Callithrix jacchus: one gene and its partner. The protein of the gene in region 1 purifies or fractionates together with the protein of each later gene. This does not show direct contact. Links are inferred from orthologs where the notes say so. Each region holds a gene or a part of one and is shown in the gene's direction. Other genes may lie near its edges. The genes, in order: CDK5RAP2 and PCNT.

The links.
Region 2: the proteins of CDK5RAP2 (region 1) and PCNT purify together in Homo sapiens (co-immunoprecipitation; 4 studies listed by BioGRID and IntAct, with this or other methods). This does not show direct contact. The link is inferred for Callithrix jacchus from reciprocal best matches to the Homo sapiens genes CDK5RAP2 and PCNT.

The regions. Positions count from the first base shown.
Region 1 is NC_133502.1:168,799,734-168,803,534, reverse strand, and holds part of CDK5RAP2 (CDK5 regulatory subunit-associated protein 2), read left to right. Parts: intron 1-128; coding exon 129-318; intron 319-1,350; coding exon 1,351-1,472; intron 1,473-2,580; coding exon 2,581-2,817; intron 2,818-3,801. UniProt on the Homo sapiens protein: Potential regulator of CDK5 activity via its interaction with CDK5R1. Negative regulator of centriole disengagement (licensing) which maintains centriole engagement and cohesion. Involved in regulation of mitotic spindle orientation.
Region 2 is NC_133522.1:51,907,620-51,911,910, forward strand, and holds the start of PCNT (pericentrin), read left to right. Parts: upstream 1-1,354; 5' UTR 1,355-1,441; coding exon 1,442-1,495; intron 1,496-1,804; exon of another isoform or gene 1,805-2,364; intron 2,365-3,445; coding exon 3,446-3,658; intron 3,659-4,291. UniProt on the Homo sapiens protein: Integral component of the filamentous matrix of the centrosome involved in the initial establishment of organized microtubule arrays in both mitosis and meiosis. Plays a role, together with DISC1, in the microtubule network formation.

The DNA.
Region 1 (3,801 bases):
AATGCCAAAATCATAAATGCCACATCGAATCTCATTCTTTTTTGTATTCTTGAAGTGCTGTATTTATATAATAAGGTTGGAAAAAACAAATGGTGGCCCTTCTCAGTGGCGCCTTTTTGTGTTTGCAGATAAACAGAAGGAGAATGACAAATTACGAGAGTCCCTCTCCAGGAAGACCGCGAGCCTGGAGCACCTTCAGCAGGAGTATGCCAGTGTGAAGGAAGAAAATGAAAGGCTGCAGAAGGAAGGCAGCGAGAAAGAGAGACACAGCCAGGAGCTGATCCAGGAGGCCCGCCACAGCCGCCAGGAGCTGAGCAGGTAGTGGCTGTGCTTCCCTGGTGCCCTGCTGGCTGAATCACGCATCCGCGCACTGGGCTGCAGTTGTGGAATCAGGCATGCAGGCCTCTGCACTAGTGCACAGTGGCAGGCAGTAGACAGAAACATATTTCACATCTGGTGGGCCTACCACATGTGGAGAACAATCCCGTAAGGAGGAGAGGGCTTGGCAGTGGGTTGCTGTTTTTTGTCGAGGGCGAGTCAGGTAAGGCCTTTCTGAAAAGATGCTGTTTGCACAGAGAGCTGTGAATGTAGTGAGGAGGTGAGTGCTGCAGCTACCTGGGGAAGATCATTTTAGGCAGAATGGGCGCAGGCCCTGAGGCAGCGTGGCTTAGACCTGTGCCCGACAGAGCAGGGCAGTGCGTCCCGAGAGGCAAGAAGCTGGGGGACGAGATACCGAATCACATCGGGCCACAGAGCCAGTGTGAGGACGTCAGGTTTTACTCTGAGTGGCATGAGAAGCGTGGGAGATTCTGAGCAGAGAGTAACGTGGATCTGCTGTTGTTTTTAAAAGGATCGCACCAGTTGTCCTTTTGCCATTTCCCTATTTGAGTCTGTCCGTTTCCAAATTTGAGTTGTTCCTGTTGGCACGTGTGAATGCCCCACTCTTGAAGAGTTACTGTCATCACCCAGGGTGGTGCACTGAGGTAGCAAGATCATTGTCTCTGCCACCAGATAGTCCTGGGCCTAAGTCCAGCTCCCCTCCTGAGCTGTGCACCCCTGGGTAGGAGACAGCCTTTTTGAGTTTCATTTCCTCATATCTCTGAACTGAGGATCAGAGGGCACCGACCTTTTAGGGTGTCTCTGAAGATTACATGAGATCACATAGGTAAGGGGCTGGACGCAGGGGCCAATTAGAAACTGTGGCTGTCACTGGAATTCTTAACCATGCTTGTCACTTCTTGGTCCACATTCTTGTGACTGAGGGTGGAATTGGCCTACCCTGTGGGATTTGAATAAGTGATCCTAAGGTAGAATTAACTTCTCCGTCTCATCCCTGTGGGGCCTTCTCAGGGTGCAGGAGGAGGTGAAGTTGAGGCAGCAGCTGCTCTCACAGAATGACAAGCTATTGCAGTCCCTCCGAGTGGAGCTGAAGGCATATGAGAAGCTGGATGAAGAGCACCGGAGACCGAGAGGTAATGGGGGCTCTGGTCCGAGGCCCTTCTCATCTTGAGGCTACTGTGGCTTGGGCTGTAAGCCCACCCAGCAGCTGGTTGTAGGCACAGGTGGGCAGAGCTCAGCACTCTCCATTCTGACCTTGTGGGTAGAGTAGATGGGTGCTAAAGCTGGCGCTTTGGCCCACTCTTCTTCTGAAGGAACAGCAGGAAACATGGAAGGACTGAGGCTTAGCAACCAGGCCAGCTGAGGTCCGGGTTCCCACTCCCTTGTTCTGGGCTGTGTGACCCTCAGCAGGCCACTTCACCCTTTGAGCCCATACCTGCCTCTATAAAACATGTTTCTCAGCACCTGCTGTGTGGAGAGTTACGTTAAAAATTGAATGAGACCATTTATTAAAAGCATCCTAGCATGGTACCTGACATAGTAGGCACTCAGGAAATGACTTTTATTACAGTCATCTTGCTATGTGTTACTTTTTGCCCTTTTATTCAGCAAACATTTATGGTCACCTCTCATGTGCTGGGCATTGCTCTGGGGATGCTTGTTGGCTTCAGTGCTCTCTATATCCTGAGAGAGATACCAGATCAGAGTACCTCAACTATAAAGTCTAATGTTTCAGAATCAATTTTGAGGTGTGGTGAGGTTTTTTTTTTTTTTTTTTTAAAAACTAATTTTCCAGATGGTTTCTCTCTATTGAAAGTTTATCTAGAAAAGGGTCATCTCACAGCTTTTATTTTTCTCCTCAACTTGCTTTTCTTATTCTTGCCATTGTGTCTTTTTAATATACTGTGGCTCTTAAAATCATCCCCTTTTATTCTATAATTCTAGCCCAAATAGATTTTATTACTACTAGACATAATTTCGGGGTTTGGTGTGCAATTTGCTAGGCTTTTATGGCCAGAAGTGAAAATTAATTTCCAGCTCTTATTTAGCCTGTGGAATAGCAGCAATTAAGTCTGCCAATATTTTTGTTTCTAAAGTCAAGTTGTTATTTTAAATTGTACCTAGTTCTTAGGAAGGGGGAGGGTGAGGGTGGTGGCGGGTGTAAAACACGATTGAGTTCCTTCGATGGCTGACCCTGTGGTTGTGGAAGATGTCAGGGCTTCCCTTTGCACATGTCCACAGAGTCGTCGGGAGAAGGCTGGAAGGGGCAGGATCCTTTCACAGACCTGCACAGCCTCCTGATGGAGATCCAGGCTCTGCGGTTGCAACTGGAAAGGAGCATCCAAACCAACAGCACACTGCAGAGCAGGCTCGAGGAACAGCTGGCGAGGGGGGCGGAGAAGGCACAGGAAGGAGCCCTCACTCTGGCTGCCCAAGCCCTGTCCATCCCTGAGCTGCCCCTTCAGCCCAACAAACACGGTACTGCACCTGCCTCTCCCCACTTCCTAAGCATGCAGTTCTGAGCGTCTGTGTGTGACATGTGAACTTCTGAATGATGCCTTTGCCCCACAGAGGTGTCTTTCCATTGATAGCTGACACACTGTAGCCTAGGAGCCAGGGGACCTGACTGCTAATTAATTAGCAGTCACCTTTGGCAAAGTGGTGTGGTCTGTCTGAGGCATCTTCATTCTCAGGGAAGTGGAGTTTGGACTTCCAGACAGCCTCAGTGCCTCTGGTGTTGCTCCCTCCTAGTTAGTCCTGCTCATGTCACTCTGATGCTGAAATTTCTTTTAGTTTTCTGACTGCCTTTAAAAGGGAGCCTAAACATCTTAATCTGGCTTTCAGTGTCTTTCAGGATCTGAAAAGCATCCTGATAGGTTTAAAAAGTAGATCTATTTTGCATTTGCTTGTGGGTTAATTGCCTAGCCCTGGAGAGGCTGTAGTGGGTACCAGAAAGAGGGCCAGACACCTCTGCCACCCACCCACCACAGCGTGTGGAGCAAACCAGTAAATGGCAGGCGCAGAGCAGTCAGGCAGCCTATCCTCTGCTCTAGAGATGAAAAACGAAGGCCCAGAGAGCGGATGGTGCTTACCGAAAGTGGCACAGCAAGTAGGTGGCAGAGCTGACGCTAGAAACCATTTCTAGCTTTGAGTCCAGGGCTGTTCCTGAACCCCACCAGACCCTCTAGAGTCTTGGGTATCCTGGGATTGTCGTCCTGACACCAATAGCATCAATGTGTGTATCCCGTGGAATGAGGAATGCCAACATGCTTATAAGCAAGTATTGTATTAAAATTTGGACTGACTTTTACTTGGATACCTCTAGTTAAAAAAGTAAAAATAAATCTTAAGGAGCACCTAGTCAGTCTGCCTTAGAACTTGTAGTGAAACTAATCAGTTCATTGATTTCTCATTGATAAGGATCTTAAAATTTAATCAAAAAGATGATATAATATGAAAAAA
Region 2 (4,291 bases), on another chromosome or scaffold:
CAGCTGGCTCAAGCCATCCAGGTCCGAGTCAGGGAACCGCGACCCTGCAGGCACAGCCCCTGCCCTCTCGGCTGCGCTGCCTGCCTGGCTCCCGCTTCCGTGCCCAGCTGGCTCAAGCCATCCAGGTCCGAGTCAGGGAACCGCGACCCTGCAGGCACAGCCCCTGCCCTCTCGGCTGCGCTGCCTGCCTGGCTCCGGCTTCCGTGCCCAGCTGGCTCAAGCCATCCAGGTCCGAGTCAGGGAACCGCGACCCTGCAGGCACAGCCCCTGCCCTCTCGGCTGCGCTGCCTGCCTGGCTCCCGCTTCCGTGCCCAGCTGGCTCAAGCCATCCAGTTCCGAGTGTGGGAACCGCGACCCTGCAGGCACAGCCCCTGCCCTCTCGGCTGCGCTGCCTGCCTGGCTCCCGCTTCCGTGCCCAGCTGGCTCAAGCCATCCAGTTCCGAGTGTGGGAACCGGGAGGCTGCTGGACGCCTTGCTCACCACGCAGAAGGCGGTGGCCCGAGGCAGGAGGGGGGAGTTTCCAGGGCTTCCCGAAGGGCATTTAAGTCGCAGTTGCTGAGAATCACCAGTCGCTGCGGAGGCTGCACGCTGCGCTCGGGTCCAGCACGCTCGGGGAAGGGCCGTGGCCGCCCGCAGCGCGAGCACGCGGACCCCACCGCCTAGGGTTTGCAAGGGAGGCGCGACTAGAGAGAAACCCAGAAACCAGCCTTGGACACAGGGAAGAAGGCGATTCGCTTTAGAACACGGCACAGGAAACCACAGGGCCCGGCGAGGTCACCCACCCCGTCATGGTTCTCCGCCACTCCGCTCCAGTTAGTTTCCCCGAGTCCCGTCCACGCGCGCGGGCTGCTGAGAAAACGCCCACCCCGGCGTCTCCGCCGCAGGTCACAGGCCGTGCGGACCCTGGACTGTGTCCGGGCTTCGGTCACCTCAGCAGTCTCCTCCGGAGTCGGCTCGACTCCCGCGGCGGCCCACAGCCAACAACGAACTCCTTAGCTGAGGAAAATGGCCTGGCCCTATCCCAGTGGCTGCTGCCCGCGGTCCGGCCCGCGGGCCACCGAGTGTCCCCGTCCACGCGAGACCAGCAACGCAAATAGCGGCTCGGCCGGCTTTTAAAATCGGCCAATCACAGCGGGCACCAGGCCTCTGCGCTCCGCTTACTGGCCCTGCCGAAGGAGGCGGGTCCTGAGCGCACCAATCTGTGGCCGACGAGCGAGTAGGGCGGAGCTCCGCCCAGGCAGCACTGCCCTGAGGGCGCGTGCGCGAGACTCGGAACGCGGCCCCCTGATTGGCGGCGCGCGGTGGGGGCGGGGCCACGGCTGCGTGACACTTGTCGCGGGGGAGGGCGCGCCCCGGTGCGGGGGAGGGAGTGTAAATAGAGCGAAGGCGGCTCGGTGTCAGCCCCGCCACCACCAGGCGGCCCGCGTGGAGTCTGAGGGAGATGGAAGCTCAGCAAGAGCAGCGGCGCAGAAAGGTGGAGGCCGGGAGGGCGAAGGTAAACATCAGGGGCTTCTTCTCTTGCTGCTCCGGCGTGAAGTCCTAAGGGCGGCTCCGATGTCCACCACCGCCCCTTGTCACGAGCGGACGCGGCCCGGCGGAATCTGCCGTCGAGGTCTCGCTTTTCCCGCCGGCTCCGCTGGAAGCCGCCTCCTGGCCGCCGCCATCTTGAATCCGCCGCTCTCCGCTAGGGCCCGCCCCCTCCGCGGCCACAGCCAATCAGCGGCTGGAACGCGCGGCGCCTCTCGGGCAGGCCGGGGCGGGGCTGAGCCTGCGTCGGCGACAGGCCGGGCGCGGAGTACGCCGGGAGGGGCGGGGGTGTGTGGCTACCAGGAGGAGGTGTGGCGGGTGCTGGGCCGCAGGCTGGATCCTCTAGTGACCCCTGCGCCCTTCGGTCCCGGATGGCTTGGGGTGGGCGGCCGGTATTCTGGGGGCTGTGCTGTCTCGGGCCAGTTTCCTCCGCGGCCGGGGACGCGGCGCGGGTAGTCTCAGCGCCTCCTTACGGCGCGCTTCCGCTCCGTCCGTCGGAGACGCTTTCCCATGCGCGTTTCCCGCGGCGTCGCAGTTCCTCCTGTGTGAAAGGTCCCCGCGGCGCTCCTGGCGCCGTTGGGCGCGCGTCCTGCCCGTCCGGGTGCTGCCGGGAAGCCAGCGGTGCTGGCGCCGGGCTTCTCCGAGGGACGCGTTCCCGTCTTTATCCCGCCTCGGGTTTCACCCTGTTAAAGCGCTCGGTTTAATGGCCACCGTCCTGGGTTTCTTGTGGGGAATAAAGCGCGCAGAGCCCTTGATTCGGGGGCACTGGAACTGGGGTCCCGAGAGCGCGAGGCGGAACCTCGGGAGCTGCCGGGACGAGGCTGGCCTCCCTGCGAGGTGCGCCCGGCTTCCCCGGATGCTCGGGCCAGGGTGCTGCGGAGGAGCAGGGCTCCCGGCGTTTGAGGCGGGCAGGAGGGAAAGGGGAGCCCGGAGCCTCCTGGGGAGCGTTGAGGGTGGGGAGGGAGGGAAAAAACGCCGCCTGTAGGGCGACCCCGGCTGCAGACCAGGTCTGTGCTATCCCCTCATGGTTAGGTGTGGTGGAGGAGGGCATGAAAATAAACGAGATGGGATTGGGTTGGAATAAAGTATTTCCTTGAGAGACCATTTTTTGTCCAAATTGCCTTGTGTAATCTTCCTGGGTCCAGGAGCTTGTGTACTTGTGTTACTTACACAAACGTTTGTTCCGTTTATTACACAAACGTGGCCACAGTTATCATTTGAGGGAACAGATGCCTCTCCGTGAAAGGCTGACGTGGGACCCCCTCCCTCTTGAGTAAGACGTTAGTGGGAGATGAGGCGCGCACATAGTCTTAAACCCTCGGCTTTGAGGACTGAGCAGAGCTAGACTGTGCCTTCTGATGGGCGATGCTCTGGAGGTCCCTGGTGCTTTGGTGAGCTGTGCCATGAAAAATAGAACATCTGATTCCGTAAAGGAAGATGTGAGATTGACCTGGCTTAATTAATTTTTTGCTATTTCTGTACCTTGTCTCAGAATCTATGGCTAGGAAGTTTTGGCTGGGCTATATATTTCTTCAGTTGGGGGGAAATTGGGGCAAGAAGGGAGAGATTTAGGTTTTATTATTTTAAAACTTAAATATGCCTCGATTAAGCTATCAGTTTTTTATGTAGACGTATTTTTTTAAAGTTCAATTTTTCTGTAAACTGTCAAGGGCTAGGAAAGCTGTTCGGCAATTAGCCGTATAGTTTTCTTTCCTCTGTCAGGCGTAATTAGCAGTCCTCTTGGATATAGATCTTGCCGAAGGCAGTGTTTGTGGAGAGCGATCTGTTGGCCAGCTGTGGCACAGTAGACTGGGTCAGCCCTCGGGCTCATGGTCCCCACCAGTCTGTTGACTTTGTGGTTCTGTTATTTTTTTCTCATTTACCTCTGCCTTTACTATTTATCTACCTTTTTGCGCAGCTTGCTCACTTCCGACAGAGAAAAACCAAAGGCGACGGTGCGCATTCGGAGAAAAAGACGGCGAAGAGGAAGGGCTCGGCTGTCGCTGCGCCTGTCCAGGAGGAGAGTCCGGTAGCCAAGGACCACAGCGAAGCCCGTGGAGGAGGGGACATTTACAAAAGCCCATCATGTGACCACACCCCTGATGGGGCAGGAGGGGCCTTTGCAGCTCAGGTAGATTTGCGCAGTGTTGTCTTTAAACATTTTGCTTAGTGATTTCTAGTGTGGTTTACTAAAGGTGGTCTTTGGTCTATTTTTCCCTTTCAAATGTGAGGAAAGAGTGTGTTGTTTTAGTTATAAAAAGTGAGGGCTGGGTGTGGTGGCTCACGGGCGGATCACCTGAGGTCAGGCGTTGGAGACCAGCCTGGCCACGTGGAGAAACCCCGTCTCTACTCAAAATACAAAAATTAGCTGTACGTGATGGTGCACGCCTGTAATCCCAGCTACTCGGGAGGCTGAGGCAGGAGAATTGCTTGAACTCAGAAGGGGGAGGTTGCAGTGAGCCGAGATCATGCCAGTGCATTCCAGCCTGGGTGACAGAGTGAAACTCTGTCTCAAAATAAATAAATAAATAATTTTTTATATTTTTACTCTTTTTGAGACAGTCTTACTCTGTCACCAGGCGCCAGGCTTGAGTACAGTGGCGTGATCTCAGCTCACTGCAACCTCCACTTACTGGGTTCAAGCAATTCTACTGCCTCAGCCTCCTGAATAGCTGGGACTACAGGCACAAGCCACCACGCCCAGATAATTTTTGTATTTTTTAGTAGAAGAGGGGGTTTCACCATGTTGGCCAGGATGCTTTCA